Coturnix japonica: one gene and its partner. The protein of the gene in region 1 interacts with the protein of each later gene in a pairwise test. Links are inferred from orthologs where the notes say so. Each region holds a gene or a part of one and is shown in the gene's direction. Other genes may lie near its edges.

Region 1 (3,511 bases):
TAGCCTGTATGTCCCCTGTTTTTAACCTAAGCCTCACTAGGGGAGAATTCTGTAAGCTCCCACTTTTAGCTTTAAAGTGATCTGAAAAGGTCAGCACACGTGCTTGTAGATGAGTACATGCCTCTTAATTTGAAAGAATGCAGGGTTTGGGGAGAGGGAGGGCTGCCCTTTATTACTAATTATGTTGAGTTGCTTATAATTGTAGGCAGTTATGAAAATATGTTGTGCTTAAGCATTGCTTATGAACGATTATTATCACTGCTTGTTTCATGTTTCTGTGTTGGATTTCATTTATGCTGAGACTAGAAGGGTTAGATATGTATAGCAGCCTGGACTGAACCTGTTGTTTGCTTTTCAGGACTTCCTTTTCCATGGTGCTACTTTTGTCTTTTATTTTGGAGCTTTTCTACTGCAAGCAGCAACTACATCCCTGCATCACTACCCTCGCAGATTAAATTCCACCACATCTGTGACTATTCTGGGTGATCATGAATATAACATAAGCATAGCAGCCTCGGTATGTATTTCATGAACTTGTACCTAGCAGTGGAATTCTGATGTAAGCACTGGTAACCAGCCTTTCAACTTGGGAACTGCGCTGGAATGGGAAGAGGGATTGTGAGGAAGAAAATAGTCTTTGAAAGCAGCAAACATTCTGGAATAATCAGCCATTCTTACAGTGGCATGCAAAAAAAGTGCAGTGATCTGTTAATGGAGCCTAACGAGATAGATGCTTAGATGGTACTGTTTACAGTAGTGTTTTAAGTCTGTGATTACTACAGAATCTAGTTTTTAGGTGAGATATTTAGTAAAAATAATGCTAGGTATTGAAATAGAAGCAAAAGATGAAAACTGAGCCTTCATCAAAGTGTCAGGTATGACTTTCAAGCCTGCTCTCAAACTTGTAATTGCTTGGGTGTTTTGATACCTTTTAGATAGTCCTGAGCATGCCATAGGGAAAAATGTTGGACTAGCTCCTTATAAAGCTCCAGGTACATATTTTCTGATGTCAAGCATAAAAAGCAGCTGCAAGGGGCGTGCTATCTCCTGTGGCAAGGATTAGAGAGCTTTTATTAATCAATAAAGCTCTCTAAGCTAAGCTCAGATTGCCTTTTTATCACTATAATTGCATCATCACTGAATCACCATATCTGGTGATGTGTGTGTTCATTGCTGAGTCAGAAAATACACAGACCTTCAGCTTTCTCCCTAGCTGGACTCCTGAATGGCAAGTAGTGGTGTGCCAGCAGAATTAATTGGAAGAACTGAAACTGCTGCTTGTTTTGTGTTTTGGGTTGGTTGGTTGGTTTGGTTATTGTTGTGTTTCTGAGTTTGGGCTGTGGGATTTGTTTGTTTGTATTTGTATCTTCCAGGGCATCTCACATACTTAAAGGAACTTCCTACATTTATTAAGTTTCTGAATCATTTTGGGGGTATCTCTTGTCTTCAGAACTAGATAACCGTAGATTTTACACAATAAATACCTTCAGCTCATATTAGAGTGGGTCAAAATGAATGAACCCAACGTCTAAGAGTTACACCGTTTCTTCAAGATTAGGAAAGAAAGGCCTTGTACTTTGGCAAGCTAGGCTCTGAAAGAGTGAATTGAGTATGTCAGTCTTCAAGACACAAATTCCTCACCATTACCCACTTGCCTGTGACATAGTCCAGCACAAATTCCTGTATGACCATGGCTGGTAGACAGATGATGTCTCTCAACTGTGTCTAAACTGGTGGAGAGCTTTGAATTAATTACATGTCTCAAATTCCATACTTCAAAGTAGCTCCGCAGTCCTTGTTTCAGTGTGTTCAGATCTTACTTGATACGTGGTAACTCATGTGTCTCTCCAACAACAAAGTACTGAGGAATACAAAGACTCTTTACCTCTTTCATACTCTCCTTCTTTTCTAAGAAGAGTTCAGTACTTCACAACCCTTGGATCTTTGTTCAGATGAAGTAAGAGGATGTGATTTTGTAACTCACCTTATCTGTTAATTAAGAGATGGTGGGAGATGGTGAATCAAATGATGTAGTTTTTAGTATCTTCTTCTTTTTTTTTTTTTTTTTTTTTTTTTTAATTAAAAGTACCTGATTAGGAAGTCAGAGCATACAAATAAACAAAAAGTGACCCTTTGAAACACATCAGTAAAACAGTCTACAAACAAATAAGATAAGGCCTTGCTAACTTTTCCATCTGAAAATGACTTTCTAGTTGTGTATACTGCAATTAAAATGTATCTTTTGCTTTTATGAATAATACTCCTAGGATCTATTCAAACCTTGATTTATCAAATCAGTGCATGTGTGGAATCAAGGTTGTTATCGTTGGATCAAATCTATATGTTCTAAGAGAAAGTGTCCTTGATCAGTAGTGGACAATATGAGACATTTTTGTTACTTCCAACTCAGTTTCTAACTTCTCCCTTCTTGTTTATGTTACATACTCACTTTTGCCGTGGCACTATCTACAGTTCTTATCTGTTCATTTTCTTGAGCTGTAGCATCTTCCTGACATTTCTCAACAATCTGTCATGTCTTTTTCTCTGGTTGAAGAGGCCCAACTGTTTCTTTCTGCAAGTAAAAGGCTCTGCTGTTTGGAGGGACATCTCGTTCATTGTTTGCCAGTAAAGGCATTTACCTGGATACTTTCTAATGAAATACTAATCTTAGATTCTCAGTCTAGATAAGAGGAAACTGAAATATCAAGCGCTTAATTTCTACAATAACACACAACCTCTTCTGTTTATATCCTATGTCAAAATATCTTCAGCAGCTAGCAGCTAAGATAATAACAATAAGGTGGGCTTAAAACAGAGTTTATGAGAAGGCTTCAGATGATACCAGGTCTGTCTTTACTACTGGGGGGGTACCTTTTGAGTCGTTTGTGTTGTTACACTAATTTAAAATAGAAAAAAATATGTAGAGCAATATAATGTGTGATTCACTTTTTTTCTCTTCTTTCTCTTTTCTCCCTGCTCATCCTTTAGATTTTTGCCTTTGCAACAGCTGTTTGTTATGGTTTCAGCACAGCCCTGGCTTTGAGGAGATGGAAGCTATAGCAGTTGAAGAGACTTTGATTCCCAAGAGTTCAACTTCAGATCAAATTAAGTACTACTTGTCTGTTTTACTGTAATGTAATTCCAAAAAAGACTTTTTGCTTAAAATTCGTTTCCAAGTGCTGAAATGCAAATAACCCTTAATCAGGATTTCTTTAACAGAAGGTTCTGTCTCTTCCTCTTTTTTATTTTTTACTTTCTTTGGGAACTCCTTAGAAACGTTGTTTGTTGAATTGTAATCCAGAGTTCAGAGATAAACAGATGTTACAAGCAGATAACCGAATTCTGGTGCTAAACCAGAAGAACAGGAAGAAAACTGAAACTAAACAGACATGTTACCTGCATAGGCAGCTAAAAGAGCTACCCCCTTGTTAAGGCCTAGGATTGAGCTCTACGTGTGCTGCAGCATTACAGTGTGTTCCACACAGGTAGGACCTTGAGGCTCTTTGTAGAG
Region 2 (3,985 bases), on another chromosome or scaffold:
GTGGAGCCTCACACTTGGTGGACAAATGTAAGCTGACGTGCAAAGTATTCGAAATAATGAGAATAGAACAGCTCTTTGGAGCAGCAGTTTTAATAAAGCTGGATGACACTAAGAACGCGATCATTCATACCAGAAAATGTCTCAGTAATGAAGATGGAAGATGTTAGAGAATGTTCTAACTACCTGGAGGAACAGTAAAAGTGTTGAACCCGAAATAGCCAGAACATCCCCCACGGGACGTGGAGAGGAACCCCACGTCAAACAGGGGACGTCGGAGTGATGGTGCTGAGGGGAGGAGACGTGGTGGTGTCAGCTGTGATAGCAGCGGGAGCTGTGGAGGAACATGGAGAGCTCTATTGGCCACATTGATCCTGTGCCATCAGCTGCACATCCAGGAGATGTTGGGGAGAGGTTTTAGTTTGGACATGACTTTTATCCGGAGCAGTCCGTCACACAGAGCGCGTCCCCGCCGAGCGCGGCTCCAATTCGTGCCGGGGCTTCACAGCGCCGAACCGAGACTGTGTTAATGCCGTCACACCGCGCAGCGACAGCCAGGCATGGCCGGGCAGGTGAGGGAGGCGCGGGGCCGGCGGGATGTGCAGGTAACACGGCGGGAGCACGAGCCGCTGTTTGTTCTGTACACACGTCACATCTGTGACAGCCCCGCGCTGTTTGCTATGGAGCTGAGGGAACCCAACTTCGTAAAGCTCCGAAGCTCCGTCCCCAAAGCTCAGCGCTCTGAAACCGCCCACGCTCTGGGCGCTGCCCCGTCCCGTCCCGTCCCGTCCCGCCGCGCGGTGCTGCCGCGGTCCCGTCTCGGTGCCGGCGTGTAGCGGAGGCCGGGGCGCTCCCATAGCAACAGAAGGGGCGGGGCCGGAGCGGCTTTCGTCGGGGCCACGTGACCGTTCGAACGGCCCAATCGCAAGTTTCTCGGCCGAGGGGGCGGGGGCTCCGCGGGGGCGGGCGGGCGCGGCGCCGCGCCTCTGTCGCCGATTGGCCGGAGCGCCCGCCCGCGGCCGCGCCGATTGGCCGCCGGTCCCGCCGCTCCGCGCGGAGCCCGCCCCCCGGGGAGCGCCGCGGCTCCGGGCCCGGCGGGAGGGCGACCCCGCGGCGCGGGGCGGGGCGGCGGCGGACACGCCCGATGGGGCGGGGCGGGGCGGGAGGGGCGGCGCGCTGCGGGGCGGGGCGGATCGGCTCGTCCTGTGGCTCGTCCGGCGCTGCTCACAGGGTGACACGTCTGCGGGGTGAGTGAGTGGCATTGGCAGGCTGTCAATCCCTCACCGGAGCGGCCATCAAACAACATAAAGCACACACAGTCACCGGGCGGCCGCGCTCATAAATCCCCGCCGGCTGATATTTTTGCACGTTGCTTCGCACACAGTGTGTAATTAATTTTTTTACAGTTCTTTCCCCTCGATTTCCGCTCTTTTCTTTGCGCGAGTTCAAACTTTGCTCCTCGCCGTCCCCCCGCTCACCCGGGATGGTTGGTGATTTTTGGGGGGAGGGCATTAATTTTGCTCGTGTTTTGGTGCCGTTTTGATGTGTCGGTCCGGGGCCGCTCGGCTCGTTGTGCTTTTTGCTCTTTGCCCTCCCAACTTCTGCGGGATCTGAATAATCCAACTTTGGGCATTTTGTCATTTTTTATTTTTTTTTTACTTTTTTTTTTTTTTTTTATTTTGTTGCCTTTTCGCATAGAAGATTCTTTGGACAAAGTGGGGAAAAGACATAGAAAGCAACAATAAAAACAATAATAGCAGAGGATAACAATCATACTACTGCTCATAATAAAACGCTGTGGAGGAAGATCGCTCCGGGGACAGGCAGCGGCCCGGCACAGACATGGTGCTGACGGGAGAAGACTGTAACTAAAGAAGAGTGATTTACCGCGCCGGGGAGAACAGCGCGTTTCCAGCCGCCGCCGCTCCCGGCACCGCCGCTCCTTCGGCCGCCGTTTCCTTTTGGTGTTTTTGCCTTTTTTTTTCGCCTCTCGCCGTCGCGGAGCGGCGGGGCCGAGCCGGGGCGCTCAGTGCCCCCGCGGCGCGGGGCCATGGACGAGCAGTCCCGCATGCTGCAGACCCTGGCGGGCGTCAACCTGGCGGGGCACTCGGTGCAGGGGGGCATGGCCCTGCCGCCTCCACACGGACACGACGGGGCCGACGGCGACGGCAGGAAGCAGGACATCGGGGACATCCTGCACCAGATCATGACCATCACCGACCAAAGCCTGGACGAGGCGCAAGCAAAGTTGGTGTCGTCTCGTTACGCCTTGTCTGTCGGCGCGCGTGGGGCGCGCAGCTCCGGCCCGGGAACGCGGCCGGGACAGAACTTCTGGCGCCGGAGGAACCGCCGGGCGAGCGGGGCGCGGCCGGAGCGCCGCTGAACGCCGCTTAACGCCGCTGAACGCCTCGAGCCGAGCGATAAACGCGGCAGCGGGAGGTGCTCGAGCCGGCCCCGTCCCGTGTCCGTGTGTCCGCGGGCCCCGGGCCGGGCCGCAACTTTCCGCGGCGCTGCCCCGTGCCCGGCGCGGCGGGAGATGGATGGCGGCGCCGAGCAGACACCGCCGCGGGGGGAGAGAGCGGCGGCCGTCCTAAATCACCGCCCTGCGAAACAAAGCGCGGCCCGGCCCGGGCCGCTCCGCAATAAATCAGCCCCGGACGGCGCTGATTTACGCCGCGCGCAGCGGGGCCCGGGCCCGGCCCGGCGCTGAGAGGCGCCGCCGCGGTGTGGCACGGAGCAACGGCCCCGCTCGGGCCCGCTCCTGGTGCGGGCCGGGGCCGGTTTCGGGGCCGGTTTCGGGGCCCGATGCCGGGCTCTGCGGGCGGCCTGGCGGCGCGGCGCGGCGGGCGCCATGTTCGCGTCGGGCGCTAACGCTGTGTGTGCTCTCTTGCAGGAAGCACGCGCTGAACTGCCACAGGATGAAGCCCGCGCTCTTCAGCGTCCTCTGCGAGATCAAGGAGAAAACAGGTAAGGGCCGGCCCGCGCCGCAGCCATCTTGAGCCCTCCTCCGCCGCGCCTCGGCGCTGCCGCCCGCTGCTCGGCCGCGGCCCTCCGCCGCCTCCGGGATGCGCCCGGCCCTGCCCTGCCCTGCCCGCGGTACCGGCGCACAGCGGCACCCGGCAGCGCCCGGCCCGGGCCCGGATCCGCCGCGTGCAGCGCCGGCAGCGCCGCGAGGGAAGCGCTGGAGAGGGACGGGCAGCGCCGAAGTGACGGATGCGGCCGCGCGTGCAGAGCGGCTCCGGCTCCGGCTCCGGCTCCGCGTTGGCAGCTGCGGGCGGCGGGGTTTGAAACACTGAAATGATGGTCACAACAACGTTATTTTCCGTGCAACATTAATGAGACGGGAAGGAATGTCGCGTTTGTCTCGAAGGCGTTTGAAGGGATTTTTGCAAATTTCTTACATCGCTGAATTTACAGAGATTTTTTCTTTTTTTAAAATAAGACAATTTTGAAAAATATCGTACTCTTCATTGTGACAATAAGGACTTTTTTGACTTTTTTTTTTCTTTTTTCTTTTTTCCTAATCTGGCCTTAAAACTGAACACCTGCACTCGTTTGCTTTTTAGCTGTATTTGGTGCTCCATTGCAGCCCTCTTAGTTGCAAGCTGAAAATCTGGGGTTATAGAGGTTAGCAGCCGCCTCGTGCACGCAGCAGAGCCCAGCTGAGCTGCCCGGTGCGCGGCTGTCGGTGCAGTTGGTGCGTGTTGTGCACGGGCTCCTGTGCCGCCGGGTCCCGCTTCAGCTCTGCTGACGGCTGAGAGCTGGATATCGGCTGCGCTGCAAATATTAAGATTGATTCCACGTTACACTGCGTGACATTACCTCAGATAAGGAGCGCGATCCTCTCTGCCTCCCCCCTGCCTGCGCGGTGTCCCTCCATCCGCGGCTCCTGTTTGTTTTCCTGCCCTGAACTTTGTGCCCGTGCAGCGGTGCCGGCAGCGGCCCCTGCTTGTGCTGAGCCGGAGCGGCCGTGGGTCCTGGGTCCTGT

The links. The genes of interacting proteins can lie anywhere in the genome.
Region 2: the proteins of MAL2 (region 1) and PBX3 interact in a two-hybrid assay, tested with the Homo sapiens proteins (2 studies listed by BioGRID). The two-hybrid records come from large-scale screens. The link is inferred for Coturnix japonica from reciprocal best matches to the Homo sapiens genes MAL2 and PBX3.

Annotation. Positions count from the first base shown.
Region 1 is NC_029517.1:122,955,373-122,958,883, forward strand, and holds part of MAL2 (protein MAL2), read left to right. Parts: intron 1-358; coding exon 359-517; intron 518-2,988; coding exon 2,989-3,060; 3' UTR 3,061-3,511. UniProt on the Homo sapiens protein: Member of the machinery of polarized transport. Required for the indirect transcytotic route at the step of the egress of the transcytosing cargo from perinuclear endosomes in order for it to travel to the apical surface via a raft-dependent pathway.
Region 2 is NC_029532.1:8,212,840-8,216,824, forward strand, and holds the start of PBX3 (pre-B-cell leukemia transcription factor 3), read left to right. Parts: upstream 1-1,185; 5' UTR 1,186-2,047; coding exon 2,048-2,244; intron 2,245-2,281; exon of another isoform or gene 2,282-2,436; intron 2,437-2,463; exon of another isoform or gene 2,464-2,761; intron 2,762-2,890; coding exon 2,891-2,964; intron 2,965-3,985. UniProt on the Homo sapiens protein: Transcriptional activator that binds the sequence 5'-ATCAATCAA-3'.